2 linked regions of the Arabidopsis thaliana genome follow. The protein of the gene in region 1 interacts with the protein of each later gene in a pairwise test. Each region holds a gene or a part of one and is shown in the gene's direction. Other genes may lie near its edges. The genes, in order: OLEO2 and AT4G24310.

The links.
Region 2: the proteins of OLEO2 (region 1) and AT4G24310 interact in a protein complementation assay, tested with the Arabidopsis thaliana proteins (one large-scale study listed by BioGRID).

The regions. Positions count from the first base shown.
Region 1 is NC_003076.8:16,170,534-16,179,418, reverse strand, and holds OLEO2 (oleosin 2), read left to right. Parts: upstream 1-4,635; 5' UTR 4,636-4,678; coding exon 4,679-4,837; intron 4,838-5,356; coding exon 5,357-5,797; 3' UTR 5,798-6,079; downstream 6,080-8,885. Other genes in the region: MYB22 (myb domain protein 22), read left to right, coding at 1,688-1,875, 2,022-2,145, 2,534-2,992; AT5G40410 (Tetratricopeptide repeat (TPR)-like superfamily protein), read right to left, coding at 6,208-8,034; AT5G40405 (Tetratricopeptide repeat (TPR)-like superfamily protein), read right to left, coding at 8,266-8,885.
Region 2 is NC_003075.7:12,594,548-12,602,905, forward strand, and holds AT4G24310 (transmembrane protein, putative (DUF679)), read left to right. Parts: upstream 1-6,255; 5' UTR 6,256-6,352; coding exon 6,353-6,994; 3' UTR 6,995-7,179; downstream 7,180-8,358. Other genes in the region: AT4G24290 (MAC/Perforin domain-containing protein), read left to right, coding at 309-572, 755-993, 1,243-1,444, 1,609-1,677, 1,765-1,951, 2,262-2,428, 2,576-3,268; AT4G24300 (Peptidase C50, separase), read right to left, coding at 4,433-4,474, 5,104-5,211, 5,299-5,479, 5,560-5,666; AT4G24320 (Ubiquitin carboxyl-terminal hydrolase family protein), read right to left, coding at 7,751-8,358. UniProt on the Arabidopsis thaliana protein: Involved in membrane remodeling.

The DNA.
Region 1 (8,885 bases):
AATCACCAACTTGTATTTAAGTGAACCAAATTATGGATTTGATGACTTCTAAACATAATCTTTTTGTATGTATGGAAAATTGAGATTTTTTGACAAAGTGATATAGTGATATCTTTAGCGGTAAAAACACTAAAGATTAATAGAAAGCGTAGGAATTTAGTATTCTATGGAAAAGTAGAGTAGTTATTAGTTAATTTAATGTTCTTTACTATAATCTTTGTTTTTTAAAGGAATATAAAATATGTTATTTCTGAAAATACGAACGTTACTTTATCAAAATGTTTAACGAGAAATTATACTATTTTAATAATTAAAAAACATAATATGGTTGGCATTTTTTCATAGGAAAAATGTTAAAATAAACGAGTTTTCTATGGATGGTGAATTGAGAACTAGTTGAGTCTAAACAATTGAGTACTTAAATTCAAGTATTAATGGACTCAACCTAAATATATTATTAAAAAACTATCTTCAGTGCTCAAGAAAATAAAATAAATTTTATCTAACAGAAATAAATTCATGACATGTATGACACGTGTTGTAATATGTCAAATTTTCTCTTTTAAACACAAACGCTCTCATAAATCATTATAATTTCATAATTATTTATTACAATTTAAGAATATAAATGTCTATTTTATCCTCAAGTTGATATTGTATAACTCCTCATCTCAAAATCTTAAAATTAGAACAATATCTAAAGTACTATCTTTAATTACATCCAATTATCTAACTAATTATAGTGTGTACTTTTTTGGTTTTTTGGCCCATGGTTTTATATTTAACTCACTTTTATTATCTATAAAACGTGAAAACAATGATTTGTTAAAATTAATGACTTGTAAAAATATTTGACAAGTCAAAGTCTTTGCCACTCAATTTCTACAAAATTCATTAATACATTTGTTACCTTTTAAATAGATTTTTACCTTTTTTGTTTTATTTAATTATTTGAAGTACACTTTTTTATAACCACTCACTTCTTATCGTCTTATCTGAGTATCGTTCTTTCTAAGATTTTCTATAACTTTCCGCCCATCTTTGGGTTTCAATATTTGTTTTACGGATTTCTGCACTCGATCTTTGTACTTCTTAGATTCATATCGAGATTTAATCAGTTTTCCATTTTAGAATCATCATTTCAATTCAAGTTGGTGTTTAAATGGAATTCTCATTGATCTCCGATGAAAATTTCATCTTAAACGATGCTCATCGATGTCCTGTTAATGATGATGCATCGCATATACCAAAAAATAATCTTAACTTTTTCAATGACAATTTAGGTCAATCTTCTCGTACTGGATGGTCTTTTTCACCAGATCTGACTGATATCTCTAATCAGCACCACCAAAATCTTATACCTTTGATCCCAAATTATGATTCTCAAAATCAGAATTTGGATACTAATCAAAACCATTTGGTTTACAACTCTTCCTCCTATGAAATTCCATCAAACTACCCATTCATGAGTATCAAATCCTACTCAAATATTGATACTCTTGAGCAATCTATGAATAACATAGTCAACAACGGAAAAATCCATATGATCGATAATCCCCCAATTTTTGCAAACCCTAAGGGTATATTCGAAAATTTTCATGATTTGCAGGAATACACTATAGGGAATGAGATTGTACACAATGAAGAACTGACTAATAAGGGTTATGAGCCAACTCTTGATAAGGTAATGGGTGAACCTCAATTATTTGATGTGCCAGTGCTAGAAGGTATCAAAAATACAACCAACGAAATCATGAATCAACTTGAAGATGATAAGATGAAAAAAACTTATGAGAATAAAAAGGAGGCGAGCACAAGCAAATATTTGAAGAAAAGTGACATCACCAAAAAAAGATGGACAGAATCTGAGGACATGTAAGTCTTCATTTTTTTTTTATTCTCAAATAAATTTAAAAACTATTATTCAATTTCCTCCTTGGGAATTCTCATATAACTTTTTTTTATTGTATGCCTTTTATTTTATTTTTTGAGGATGTGAAAATATATTGTAATGTATATAGAAAATTGAAAGAGATGGTGGCACTTGAACCCAAAAAATGGACAAAGGTCGCAAAACATTTTGAAGGACGAACACCAAAACAATGCAGAGAGAGGTGGCATAACCATGCTCGTCCTAACGTTAAGGTGTTCTTTTCTTTCATCTGCCTATATTCTTATTTTCATAATTTAATATAAATGATCATCACAGCTTATATGTGTGTGAAAGCAACTACGTTCTTACAATGTTCACGCACACATGTATAGAGTATAGATTGAAATTCATATAGTTGAATAGTAGTGTGGCTAACGATTTAATCACAACAATTTTAAAAATTTATATTTAGGAGTTACATGTGATACTTACAAATAATCTCATCATGGATACAAAATACATTGGCAAATTTTGTTTTCTCATAGTTATTACGAGGGGTTATTAAAACGTGCATCTTTATAGTTTGTATCTTGCTTCCATCAATAAAAGTGTCATATACATACAATAATAAGAGAATGATTTACGTATATGTGATTTCAGAAAACTACTTGGAGTGAAGAAGAAGATCAAATACTAATTGAAGTACACAAAGTAATTGGTGCCAAATGGATCCAGATCTCAGAGCAACTTCCGGGGAGGAGCTATAACAATGTTAAGAACCATTGGAATACCACAAAGCGTCGGGTGCAAAATAAAAGTGGTCGAACTGTCAACCGTGTCGGCAATAACATCCTTGAAAACTACATAAGGAGTATCACAATCAACAACGATGATGAATCTGATGGTGAACCGACAAACATTGAGAATTATCATGATGACTCTGAAGATATGTTATATGGGGAGATGAATTTGAGTCCAGAGGCTATAACGCAGACCACCAAACCATTGACCGATGCTTCTACAATATCACCTTATATTCCGATGCCAAAAGAAAACTATACTCTGGAGGTTTGTGAATCACTGGAGGACTATCTAGAGCTGCTGCGTTGGTGGGATTAATTTCCAGTGAAGGAAATTTCTTTGATAATATGATATTTTCTCACTATCGTGTGAGATATCTATCTATCTATTTCTTTTTAAATTAAGCAAATTTTAATTTACACCGTTTTGGTGTATATCTCTATCTATCTATTATACAAGAACTATATAAGTTATGTTACAGTGGTGTACTATTTTAAGTGAGTGACATAGTATTTTCTTCATATGGTTAATTAATCAACAACAATTTCCCAGCTTACTATCTATATGTGTACTTTAAACTTATATTGATAGAGAACTACAAAATTATGTTTTTGTACAAGAGAATTTGGTCTTCGGATCAATAATTTCTCTAAATATAATTTGTAAAGCCAACCCTATAATTTGTAAAATCCATGTATTACACACCAAAAAATTCAAAAGATAATCATGATTTGTTATAATTTTCTTTTTTTAATTGTGAATTGACAGACAAAAAAAACATTACATTGTGATTTAAATTCAAGACTTTGACTTGTTAAGGAAACACCATGATTCATTATTTTTTCTTCATTTGTTACATTGTCACTAGAAATATTTGATCTAATTTTATTATGATAATAGACTACATACAACATATGCGATTACGATTTTGACATGTAATCTATTTTAAGAGTATTTAACATTTAAGCGTGTTGAAGTTATAACAATATCATATAAAATGACATATCTAAAAGTGATTTTCAATATTATGCGATCGATTTTGGCTAAAACTTATAAAAAAACTCATGGGAATCTTTAAAATTAGAAATCAAGTCTTTTTAATAACCCGAAGTATAGTGAATCAACTGCGGAACAAAAGTGGATTTACATCAAGCATGTGTGTGAAACCACATACAAGGTTAATAGTACGTTAGCCGTGAGCCGAGTCCAAACGAATACGAATTGCTACTTCTAGCTAGGGATGATTGTTTTGATATGCAATAAGAACGTTCCTTTCGGTATACGAAAGTGATTGTAATACTCCGAGTTGAAAGAAGTTTTGATTAGGAAATGAATCTGAGTTTGGATGCTAGAATAGAATCTGCCGCACCGTTAGTGTTTAGTTGATGTCTCTACATGACTACATCATCTTTGTGAACTAATATATAGTAATGGGGATTGGATTGGCACAAAACTTTATTTACGGAATCATTTTCTTAATTTGATACTAAAAGTTCGAAATCGAAATTTTGAAATCCAAATGTGGTGCAAAACTACATCGTCCTATCTTCGATTTCCCATCTTCTTTTATAATTTAACATGGATAATTCAAAAGCTATTGTCTAGATTACATATTTTGGATTCGTTAGTCACATAACCAAAAATGAAACTCTTTTGATGAATTATGTATTTTCAAATTTGTATTGGAGATCCTTTTAGACTTCGGACTCAAGTATACATGCATAGGATAGTTTTCTTTTGTCTTGCTTTAAATTCGTGTCAGCGGAGAAAGCGAAAACATCTTTTAAAATCTCATGAAATGAAATAAAATAAAATAAAAACTAAAAGAAGAAAAAAGTTGAAACTTGGAAATCATGCAAAGCCACACCTCTACTACTCTAACATCTCACCGTCTTATGTGTCCTCTTCTCATCTCTCCAACTTCTTCTTTAAATAAACCTTCTCCAAACTTTTCTAGTTTTATTACAAAGAAAATAGGTAAAAACAATTTCTCATTAGCTTACAATGGCGGATACACACCGTGTCGACCGTACTGATAGACACTTTCAATTTCAGTCGCCCTATGAAGGCGGCCGAGGTCAAGGTCAGTATGAAGGTGACCGTGGTTACGGTGGTGGCGGTTACAAGAGCATGATGCCTGAAAGTGGCCCATCTAGTACCCAAGTAATGTCTTTGTCTTTATATTTATACATTCTCTTAATCTTTATACATACAAAGTTAAGAAATGATTCTTTACGGATCAATGGAGTCTATGTTCATGGAATCTTGAAATATATGTTCAAATAAATTATGAATAATTTTGACACTGTTCGATTTATATGGTTACATGCATAAAACTTCTTCTTGATCTTCTTTTTGTTATTGCGAGTTAAATATGACCTTCAAAACATCACAAAAATGGTCAGATTGATATGGTTTTGTGATTGTACCTTTTCTTGATCTCATGCTTATGATTGTTAATCGAACATAATTTTTGATCTCCTAGGCTTTTTTTTTTTTTGTGTCCGATCAAAATATGGTTAGTCTTATTCTGGTTGTTAATTGAATAGAAATGTTTTTTTGCAATGTCGGTCTAAATGTCCCAACCATTACAATTATATGTATACACCTTTTGGTTAAATTTGCATGCATATATATTGATTTGAATCTAACGATTGTTAACTTGTATCATTTAAAAAAAAGGTATTGTCCCTGTTGATTGGAGTCCCTGTCGTCGGTTCGCTACTTGCCTTGGCTGGATTACTTCTAGCTGGTTCGGTGATCGGCTTAATGGTTGCTTTACCACTATTTCTCCTCTTCAGCCCGGTTATAGTCCCAGCGGCTCTAACTATCGGGCTTGCAATGACAGGCTTTTTAGCCTCGGGGATGTTCGGTCTAACCGGGCTTAGCTCAATCTCATGGGTCATGAACTATCTTCGTGGGACAAGGAGAACTGTGCCTGAGCAATTGGAGTATGCTAAGAGGAGAATGGCTGATGCGGTTGGCTACGCAGGACAAAAGGGCAAAGAAATGGGCCAGCATGTGCAGAACAAGGCCCAAGATGTTAAACAATATGATATTTCTAAGCCACATGACACTACCACTAAGGGTCATGAGACTCAGGGGAGGACGACGGCTGCATGATGAGTTTTCAGTATGAACGGTAGATATGTGTTTTCACTATTATGTCGTTTTTTCTGCATTTTCAATATGATGTTATGTGTTTTTTTTGTTTGGCTTTTTGTTGAACCGTGTATGTGTTTTATGTTTTTGTAAGCATGAAAGATCGCAAGTGTTGTGGTAATATTTGAATGTAATAATATGATAAGTTGATAAATCATGGGAACATTTAAATTAGGTGGACATGTTTAGCTATTTGATACTCACAGTTCTTTAGGTTTCTAGTTTTTTTTTTGTCTATATAGAGAAAATGAAACAGTGCAAAACTTTACAGTTCTATTGGAGGTTTATATGTGTATGCAATTTTTTCATATTATACACACACACACTTGAAAGAGTAAAATTGACACTTGTGAGGATGAGAAATTGAGATACTACCAATAATCGCTACAAGAGCATGATCCGTCTAAGAAATGATGAAACCTCTTAGAATCTCTAATAATGATTCTCCTTTTCTCGATCAAAGATATTGCTTTTGCTGTTTCATGACAATCCCCACAAATTCTAAGATTCTTCCTTATGATAATTGGCTCCATTGGACTAACCACCAAAAGCCCAAACGCCATCGCAATCTTCTCACTATGTTGATTGATCATTTCCTCTTTAACATCTTCACCAACATCATGTAATACAAACTCTGTTTTTGATTTATATCCCATTTCACTCTTCATCTTCTTCCTAATCTCTTTCAGCTTCTTTTGTATCTTCTCTGATTCAGGATGAGACCAATCTCCAACAACAAACTTATGAATTTTGTTACCATGTTCAATGTAGCTACACCCTGAAGCTCTTACAAGACCTTTCTGTTTCATCAGATTCCTTATTCTTGAAGCATCTTTCCATAGACCAGAAGCTGAATAGATGTTTGAGAGCATTACATAGTTTCTACCATCACGAGGCTCTAATTCGAACAATCTCTCTGCGGCTTTTGTTCCGAGTTGTGTATCTTTGTAAACCCTACAAGCACCAAGCAAAGCTCCCCAAACACCAGAACTAGGCTCCATTGGCATTTCTTTGATCAATCCATAAGCATCTTGGAGAAGCCCGGATCGACCCAGTAGATCAACCATACATGAATAGTGATCTAACCTCGGGTCAATCCTGTATCTTTTCGACATTGTTTCGAAATAATGCTTCCCTTCTTCTACAAGACCAGAATGACTACAAGCATTTAACAAGTGAGTGAAGGTTACATGATCAGGACTAATACCATAGTGAACCATGAGCTCAAAATGCTTGATTGCATCTCTTCCAAACCCATGAGTGGCATAAGCAGCAAGCATTGCAGTCCACGCCATACTATCTGGAGAAGTAATCTCATGAAAAACCGTAGACGAATCCTCCAACCTCCCAAGTTTCGAATACAAGTCTAATAACGCTGTCGTTATACACTTGTTTCCACTGAACCCACCAAACATGATTAGCCCATGAATTCCTTGCGCCAATCTCACTACACCCATGTCTTCACAGCTACGGAGAACAGCCAGAAAAGTGGCTTGATCAGGCTCGTGCCCAACCCTTCTGCTCATGTTAAAGTAAGCCAGACCTTTTTCAGCTAAACCGTTCTGCAAGTGAATCACAATCATCGTATTCCAAGAAACCAAATTCTTTATACTCAAATCCTCAAACAATTTGCAGGATGAAGTCAAATCTCCAGTCTTTCCATACCAATTGATAAAAGCATTCACAACTTTAACTTCCTCAAGTACACCAAATTTCATCACCAACCCATGAATACAACGTCCTTCTTCCTTACTTCCCCCGTAAACACAAGCCGAGATCATCGACAAAAACGTAACTTCATTAGGTCTAAAACCCACCTCAGATATCATCATCCTAGACAACACCTCAAAACATTTCCCCAAATAACCTCTCCCTGAATACCCAGATATTAAAGAGTTCCAAGAGACTAAATCTCTCTCAGGCATTTCATCGAACAGCTTCTCTGCACAAACATCATGACCCAATCTCAAGTAACAACCAACAAGCTGGTCCCCAATAAATCCATGGCGGTAACTCACACTCTTCACTACTTTACAATGAAGCAAACGACACAGTTCAATGGAGACACAAGACTTTACAGCAGCTATAAGTGATGAAACATTTGCATCTAAACTATGAACAAAACTAGATTGGCTCAAAAATCTCCGACGATATAAAAATCTGAACTTTGAACATGAATACACATTTGCTTTGATCATCTCTCATTGTTATTATCTTTCTCTCCTCAAACCAAACTTAAAAGCCTTCTCCAATTAGTAATTACCATTTTTACTATTAACGCCAATTAATTACTGGCTTCAAAAAAAAAATTACTATTGGATAAACAATAAATATCACATTTTAAATTTCTTATCATAATCATGTTTTACCTCTGAAATCGTCAAATCACTAACTAGGTGAAATTAAAAAATGGTTACATAGCTAGGTTCTCACCAAAAGCCATTACAAGAACAGTGACCATCTTTGAAATGGTGGAACCTGTTTCTGTCTCTGACAATGATCTCTCTGTTAAAAATCTTGGAGATCATCATAGAAACCTGATGACAATCTCCACAAACCCGAAGGTTCTTCACGATCCGAATCGGAACATCTTCTTTCAAACTCATTATACCAAATGCAATCGCTGCCTTTTCGCTATGCAAACACAATGCATCCTCTTTCTCTTCTTCATCTATATCGAACATAACCGGGGTTGTGTCCGCCTTATAACCAGCGAGTCTCAGCCTTCTCGAGATATCCTTCCAAACCGCGTCGATTTGTGTATACTTTGGGTGAGATTTGTCTCCTACAAAGAATTCATGGACTTCTCCATTGACCTCCATTACACTGCACCCTGGTTGCTTTCTGACTCCTTTAGATTTCATTGACTGTCTAACGTGACTAACATTGTCCCAATCGTTTGAATCTGCATATATGTTTGATAAGAGGACATAAGCTCCGTGATTTGCGGTCTCTAGCTCGAGCATTTTTTTAGATGCAAGCACGCCAAGCTCAAGGTTCTTGTACATTCTGGATGCGTGGAGCAGAGAACTCCAAACAGCAGCATGAG
Region 2 (8,358 bases), on another chromosome or scaffold:
CTTTAAGGGTTATTTTGCAGTCTTTCTATTTGACTTTTGCGCTTTTATTGAATTGATTTTATATGGTGACATTTTGGACTTGGTCTTCTGTTCAAGATTCCTAGGTCATCTAGCTTCAGTTTTTGGTCTATATTTAGAAACTATGATTTCGATTGAGATCTTATTGGTCAGATTCACACTTTGTGTCAGCAATTCTCAGAAATATCTAAAGTGGTGACTTTTGATTGTTTTTGTGTGTTGTTGATTCTGGGCTCTAATTCTCTTTCTTTGATTTTGGTCTGGCCAACAGAGAAGTCTTGTACTGAAGCATGGCTCTTCGGCTACCAGCTTCTAAAGCAGCTGAAGTTGCGATTGGATCTATTGGCTGTGGTTATGATCTAGCTATTGATTTACGGTTGAAGTATTGCAAAGGAGGTTCCAAAGATTCTAGATTACTTGACATTAAAGAAGGTGATGATAATTGTGAGATTGTTTTACCTGGTGGAATCTCCATTCCTAATGTTTCCAAGTCTATCAAATGCGATAAAGGGGAGCGTATGCGGTTTAGGTCCGATATTCTTCCTTTCCAACAGGTAACTTTTCGTTGAAAAGTATTGGTTTGTGTTGTTGTAGGTTTTGAGTGGATAAGATCGCCATCTGTTGAAGCCTTTATCTAGTTTCCTTGTACATTGTTCTAGAGAGTAAATTTCCTTCATAGCATTTTGGATGCCTTAGTTATTAACATTTTGTTAACATTTTTCTTATGGTTTGCTAGATGGCAGAGCAGTTCAACCAGGAACTATCTTTGGCTGGGAAAATCCCGTCAGGTCTCTTCAATGCCATGTTTGAATTCTCGAGCTGTTGGCAGAAAGACGCAGCCTACACCAAAAACCTTGCTTTTGATGGGGTTTTCATCTCATTATACTCGGTGGCTTTGGACAAATCTCAAGTGTTACTCCGTGAGCATGTTAAGCAGGCTGTTCCATCAACATGGGACCCTGCTGCATTGGCAAGGTGATGTTCTGTCTTCATAATAGGATTGTATGTATGTAAAGTCTATGGAAAGTTACTTACATCTGCATATTTTTCTGTGAAATTGTTCGATGGTCGTTTCCTTGGCCCAATGTCTTTTCACTGGATGAAATTGTTTTTGTATGACTTAAGAATTACGTCTTACTTGTTGTAGGCGTTGTTTCATTAGTAATATTTCTTCAGTAATTGGAGGGTTTATGACTAACACTTAGTCAAATGTTTCTTTACCAGGTTTATAGATATTTATGGGACGCATATAATTGTTAGTGTTAAGATGGGAGGAAAAGATGTGATTTATGCAAAACAACAACACTCCTCAAAACTTCAGCCTGAGGATCTGCAGAAAAGGTTAAAAGAGGTGGCAGATAAGAGGTTCGTGGAAGCTAGCGTAGTGCATAATACGGGTTCAGAAAGAGTACAAGCAAGTAGTAAGGTCTGTGAAATAGTTATTATTATTTTTGTTTCCCATCATCAAAACTTTCTTGTTTGTGCATGTCATAAATGTTTTGGCTATTTGACATATAGAAGAATTTCTACTAACAATCTAGTGTTTCGACTCTTAAGTCTGTAATTCCTGTCTTTTATTCCTGGTTTCAGGTGGAAACAAAGGAGCAACGCCTGAGATTTGCAGATACCAGTTCTTTGGGCTCTTATGCAAATAAGGAGGTAATTTCTATTGGTACCATAGCTTATCATAAAGACATGTAATCTGTGTGTTAGCTTCTTTTCTCAGGAGTTACATGTTTTTTGTAGGACTATGTCTTCATGTGCAAGAGGCGAGGTGGAAACGATAACAGAAATCTAATGCATAATGAATGGCTGCAAACAGTTCAGATGGAGCCTGATGTTATCTCCATGTCTTTTATTCCAATTACGTCTTTGCTTAATGGAGTTCCAGGAAGTGGATTCTTAAGCCATGCCATAAATCTGTATCTAAGATGTAAGCCTATAAATCATTTGCGCTTTGTGCATTTCTTTCTGGAGTTATTCTTCATACTAGTGGTTTCTTTTACCTTTAGATTAGAAGTTTGATATAGGTAAAATTAGAATAGTATAATCCCAAATCTTGCGTAATCTCCAAGTCCAGCTGGGTAGTTAGGTTGATACATAGGAGCATAACTTGAAAATTATAGTATTTTTATAAGTCGAAGATGATTTTTTCTGCCATCTGTTATATGATCCGCGTAAGATGAACATACTATAAACGAAAAGCCTTGGGTTAACAATCCAACATTAACTGAGATTTGTAGATAAGCCACCAATTGAAGAGCTGCATCAGTTTCTCGAGTTTCAGCTACCAAGGCAGTGGGCACCCGTTTTTAGTGAACTTCCTCTTGGTCCGCAACGAAAGCAACAAAGTTGTGCGTCTCTGCAATTCAGTTTCTTTGGACCTAAGCTATACGTGAATACCACTCCGGTATGGGTTTGTTTCATCCCTGAATATGTAGCTTGCTGATGCAGGTTTATTTGGTCAGTCAAGTCTGATCTCATTAACCCTGTGTGGTTAGATTTTGTTTAAAGTCCTCCAGTCCTGAGATGCTCGTTCTCGTTTGTCTGGTTTCAGGTTGATGTTGGTAAGAGGCCAATCACTGGCATGCGGCTCTACCTAGAGGGTAGAAGAAGCAACCGTTTGGCAATTCATTTGCAACACCTTTCCTCTCTTCCCAAGATATATCAGCTCGAAGACGATCTAAATAGAAGTATCCGGCAAGAGTCTCATGACCGTCGATACTATGAGAAAGTAAACTGGAAGAACTACTCTCACGTCTGCACAGAGCCTGTCGAATCAGATGATGATCTTTCTGTAGTAACAGGTGCGCAGCTTCATGTAGAGAGCCACGGATTCAAGAACGTGCTCTTCTTGCGCCTTTGTTTCTCTAGAGTTGTGGGAGCAACACTGGTAAAGAATTCTGAATGGGATGAAGCGGTAGGCTTTGCTCCAAAATCAGGACTCATCTCAACGCTAATAAGCCATCACTTCACTGCAGCACAAAAACCACCACCACGACCTGCAGACGTGAATATAAATTCGGCTATATATCCTGGTGGACCACCAGTACCCACGCAAGCTCCAAAACTTTTGAAATTTGTGGATACAAGTGAGATGACAAGAGGGCCGCAAGAATCACCCGGGTATTGGGTTGTATCGGGTGCAAGATTATTGGTGGAGAAAGGCAAAATCTCATTGAAGGTGAAGTATTCTCTATTTACTCCAATATTGGGAGATGAAGTGATCGAGGAAGCCTATGAAGGTTAAGAGAAAATGGTGGTGGTGTGGCTCAGAGACAATGAGAGAAAATAGGATGAGTGGTATGTTTATGTCTGTACGTGTACATTCTTAAGGTTTTGTCGTTTGTAATGTTAATGGTGTGGATGTCTAATATGCCACTGTAAAACTTATATACACGAGAAGTTGGGATCGTGGATATCAAATTTATGGGTTTGAATAGTGACATTGACAAGTTTTGGTACAGCAAAAGAAAAATACAACAAGAAGAACTTAGTAAATATATAAATCAGATCAGCAGGTAGATTTAATCAAGTTTTTCTGTTTATAAATTTATCCCTTGAGGAGATTATAATGGAACAAAGTTTTTCTAGTCCTTATGTGGCCAAGCTCACAATTTTCCTCAACCATTTAAAACAAAAAAAAATTCTAATCCCTATTACCAAACACTTTTATTTCCAAGTATTTAAATATTATTTCTGTTTATTTTCTTAACTCAATTGTCAAACACACAAAAGTTTTTTAATATGTAAAGTTACCATATTTAAATATTTCGAATTTTTATAACCAAATATAGATATTTTGAATATATATTATATTAAAATGCATCGTTTTGTTATAATTGAAATAATCACTAAATTATATGACTAACAATTGTATCACTTTTTACTTGGCATTCCATTTATACATAAATTAATAGAAAGATGATTAAATAAATTATTTTTAGCATTTACAACTAATTATAAAAGAGATTATGAAATCTCTATGTTATCTAATTAGAATATTTATCTAAATAAACAAACCATTATATGAATTCATACATTTAAAACAACAAAATACTTTTTTTTGGTAATAATAACAGTTATAGTTAAATTCCAATACTAAGATTTGGCAAGTCTTCAAAATATATTCAAACTCAAAAATTTTATATTGTTTCACTAACTATCCATCTATAGACTATAATGCATACATTAAATATATTAATCTTAACAGAACAAAATTTTCAATTAATTTTGAATATATTATGCACGAGTCGTTACCTAGTACCAAATGAACTATGTGTTATTTTTCAACAAAGAGAAGTTTGTGTATTTTTTGGATAAAAGAGAAGTTTATGTTAAGAAGTTGAATTAAAGAAAACTGATCTCGAAAGCTCCTCCCCAAATAATGATGAGGAATCAAAATGGGCATCACTCAAACAGCTGCATATCGAACTCTGCTTGAAGACTGCTGGTTCTGGTGTAAGACGAGGAGTGGAGGGAGGAGAGACAATTTTTTCCAGTCTTATCACAGTCTAACGATGATGCCAAAAAGAAAGGCTATGCACTTAAGATGCGCCAAGATCCTCCGGAACTAGGAGAACACTACGGTGATATAAAAATAAAGGCGACAGATGGTTATGAAGGCTTATGAGCTGGCATACTTCTCTGATTTTTTTTTATATTGGTTTTAGCACGAGAGTTTGTTAGGGTATATTGGGTAAGCATGAATGTATAACAGTAAGTGAACCTAAAAGCAATAAAAAAAACTCTTGGGATAACATTCAAGATGAAGTAAATTGAGTTTTTTTTGTTAAGATGATAGCATCTACATTCAAAATGTGTTAATACTCCATGAATAATAATACCAAGTTTAATTTTCTGGAGCTCATGTTTTATCTAAAGAGAACGATGCGCATGACATTCACCTAAAAAAACTTTGGACTAAGTCAAGAAGCTTCGACCAATTTGCTTTAGGTTCAACCTGAGAGAGAATAAGCTATGAGAGTTTCAACATAGCAGAGCAGTGAGTGCCACAAGAAACATAATAATGCCCTAGAAACATCTAATGACTGACTAATCTGGACACGAGACTTTTGCACATACCTGGAATTCACCTGCCACAAATTTCAACACAGACATCATAATTTTAAGATTTAGTGATGTTTTTGCCTCCTTGGACGGAAACAGTAAAGAAAGTACCTGGCGGGAGAACTGGATACAAAACAAGACAGTCAAGGCGTACGAGAGAGAGAGACAGAGACAGAGCCACAGAAGGACATGTAAACTTGGGAAAGTCACCTTATAAAAATGACATTTTGGCAACGGGGATACAGAATATTCCTCTAGTGTAGAGATGCAAAAAGAATGCACAAAAGCCTCATCGAAACGCTCTGCTTCTCTAATTACCGAGAGAGCACACTCTCCCATATCTGACAAGACCAGCTTGAGAAACTTATGGTGTTCATTGGCATCCAAATACCTAGAAAAAAAAGAAGAAGAAGAAGTGAAACTTGTTGACTTGTACAGCAAGGGAAGCATAAGTCTCACGGTTTTATTTACCTTAGCCAGGGTTTTAGCCCTTGTAGAAGAGAAATGCCCCTCAAGTATTGGAGATCGTTCATATCCCGCGACATTGCTACAGACCTGACGATGGACGCCACAACCATGAGTTGGACTCTTGCCAGTTTAGCTCCTCCAAATTCGGGATCTGGTAAAAACGGTACACCTTTGGACTCGGGTTCTCTAACTCTAAAACCATCGTCGTAGGCGGGTCCTTTAAGGTGGTCAAGGACTCTAAAACCATCGTTGTAGGCGTGAGTGAACCAACCCCAGGCCTGGTAACAGTGAATCAGCCCGACTCTCTGAAGCTGGACGGCTAGAGGATCGTAGGAGACCAATTCGCAGCATTCCAAACAGAAATCATACGCGCGGAACAAATCCCTAGGGGATCCTTGGGTGAGGCGTTTATGCAGGAAACACACGGATTTGATGATGAAGGGGATGAATTGCTGCGAGATGGATCCAACGGGAGACCTTTTTTAGTGGAATTAGGTTTACTTTTTTAGTTCCCACCAAAGAGTGCGAATCTCTTTAAAGTTAACGTAACATGCAAATCGATTTTAAAGTTTTTTGTTTAAAGTTGGAGACGAGTAAGAACGAGAGTAATATATAATCAACTTTGAAAGTCTCAACTCTCAAGAAGGAATCAAAAGAGACCCATTGACTTCTCAAAAGTCAAAACATTGATCACGTCAACAACCATCTTCTACACTTAATCGCACGTTCTTCTTGGTATATATTATGATCATAATCATCCATTAATTCTCGAAACAAATAAGAAAAACGAAAGAATATGTCTTCACCATCTTCCCTAACGCAGAGAAACCCAACTAGTTCGCAAGAGCAATCGGAGTCTGTTCCACAGCTAAGGAGGCAGACATCTCAACATGCAGTCATGTCACAGACGCTAACCTCAGCTGCAAACCTGGCAAATCTCCTTCCAACCGGAACGCTCTTAGCTTTCACGCTCCTCATACCCGTCTTTACATCCAATGGTTCATGCGATTACCCGACCCAGGTTTTAACCATAGTGCTCCTCACGCTTCTCTCCATCTCCTGCTTCCTTAGCTCCTTCACTGACAGCGTCAAGGCTGAAGACGGTAACGTTTATTACGGTTTTGCTACTCGTAAGGGCATGTGGGTTTTCGACTACCCTGACCCTGACGGTTTGGGTTTACCCAATCTTAGTAAATACCGGATAAGAATTATTGACTGGATCCACGCCGTTTTGTCGGTTCTTGTGTTTGGTGCGGTGGCTCTGAGGGACAAGAACGCCGTGAGTTGTTTTTATCCGGCGCCAGAGCAAGAAACCAAGAAGGTTTTGGACATTGTTCCAATGGGTGTTGGGGTTATCTGTGGCATGTTGTTCTTGGTTTTTCCGGCGAGAAGGCACGGTATTGGATATCCGGTCACCGGAGACGGGGGTCGTCGTTAGATTTGTTATTTATTTCCAAATAGATATAAGCAATTTGATTATTTAATGTTTGGTTGACTAATTCGCTTGTGCATGTGATCATTTCGTGTTTGTCTCATCTACTTCCAATTCTAATAATGATTTTAATTTTGTTCTTTGTTTAGTGGACAATTATTTACGCAAGCAATCTTATTATACGTTCTGCTTGGTCATAAACTAATAATACACTTAGAGGTGTGAAATGCTTAAGATGCCTTGTCTAATTGAGTTAACACACGATATCAATAAACTGAAAGCTATAAAAAAAAAAACTTGGTTAATTGTTTGATCAGGAAGTGGCTGAACTGAGAGGACCATCCAGGTTGGGACCTTTCAAAAGAGCATGTGGACAACACAGTTCTTGTAAGACTCACACTTGTCATGTTGTTTACTCTGACTTTCATCTCTTGCCATGTTTATTTGAGACATACATGCGTCTTCCCAAAGGAAATAAGAAAACCTGTGGAGGTTTATAAATTCCTTTCTCTGCATCCGTTTTACTTACTTGCAAAATGCAGAGACTCTGTAGCCACTAGCTAAACACCGTTGCTAGCTAGGTAATATGCGAGATCTTGAGTTCTGTTTACTCCAATTGCTGGCAGAGTCGGTCAAGGACTCAAACACAAAATCTTGCACAATGATACCATATCAGCAACCAATTCCATACTCGATTAAGCTGTCCTTACTCGCCCTAGTCATAGCAACTCATTAATTCGACACTACTACTATCCTCTCTGATCAAAGACTGCTGTTATGTGCATAAATTTCACCATCTTCACAAGCTTTGATTACTCTCTTTTTTCGGTTGCTTCTCTCAACTCCATGAACATAGTCTCGTTTCTTCCCTCTCCCTGATTTGCTCATAAGATAAATGTACTGATGTCTGATCCCCATCAATGGATGCTTCTCCAGCAAGAAAACTTTGTGGTAAGCTTCCCTTAGAACAACAGTCTGGGTCCGAATCTTGTGCGACATGTAAAATATACCCGGGTGGTGCACCAAAGCCTTCTTGAACCTCATCCCGAACCCTAAATACTCCCCTAAGCAAATCACATTGTCTGTCTCAGTCTTCTTAGATACTAAAAGGAACAAAAGCTCATGAAGTACTGCGACAGCCCACTTCTCAGCCTGATCACTGTACGACCCCAAGTGAAAAGCATTTTCATAAGGCGAAATGTATGGGAGATTTTGCCATTGCTCCACCCAATTCTTCACCCTTTTATGCAATTCGTACCCTTTGGGGAAATTCATCGAATACCTTATGCGCAACCCTTTTTTCACACGAGACCCATCAATGGTGGCTTCTCTTCTCTCCATTTCCGACACAGGAAGGTTGTTCCGCCGCG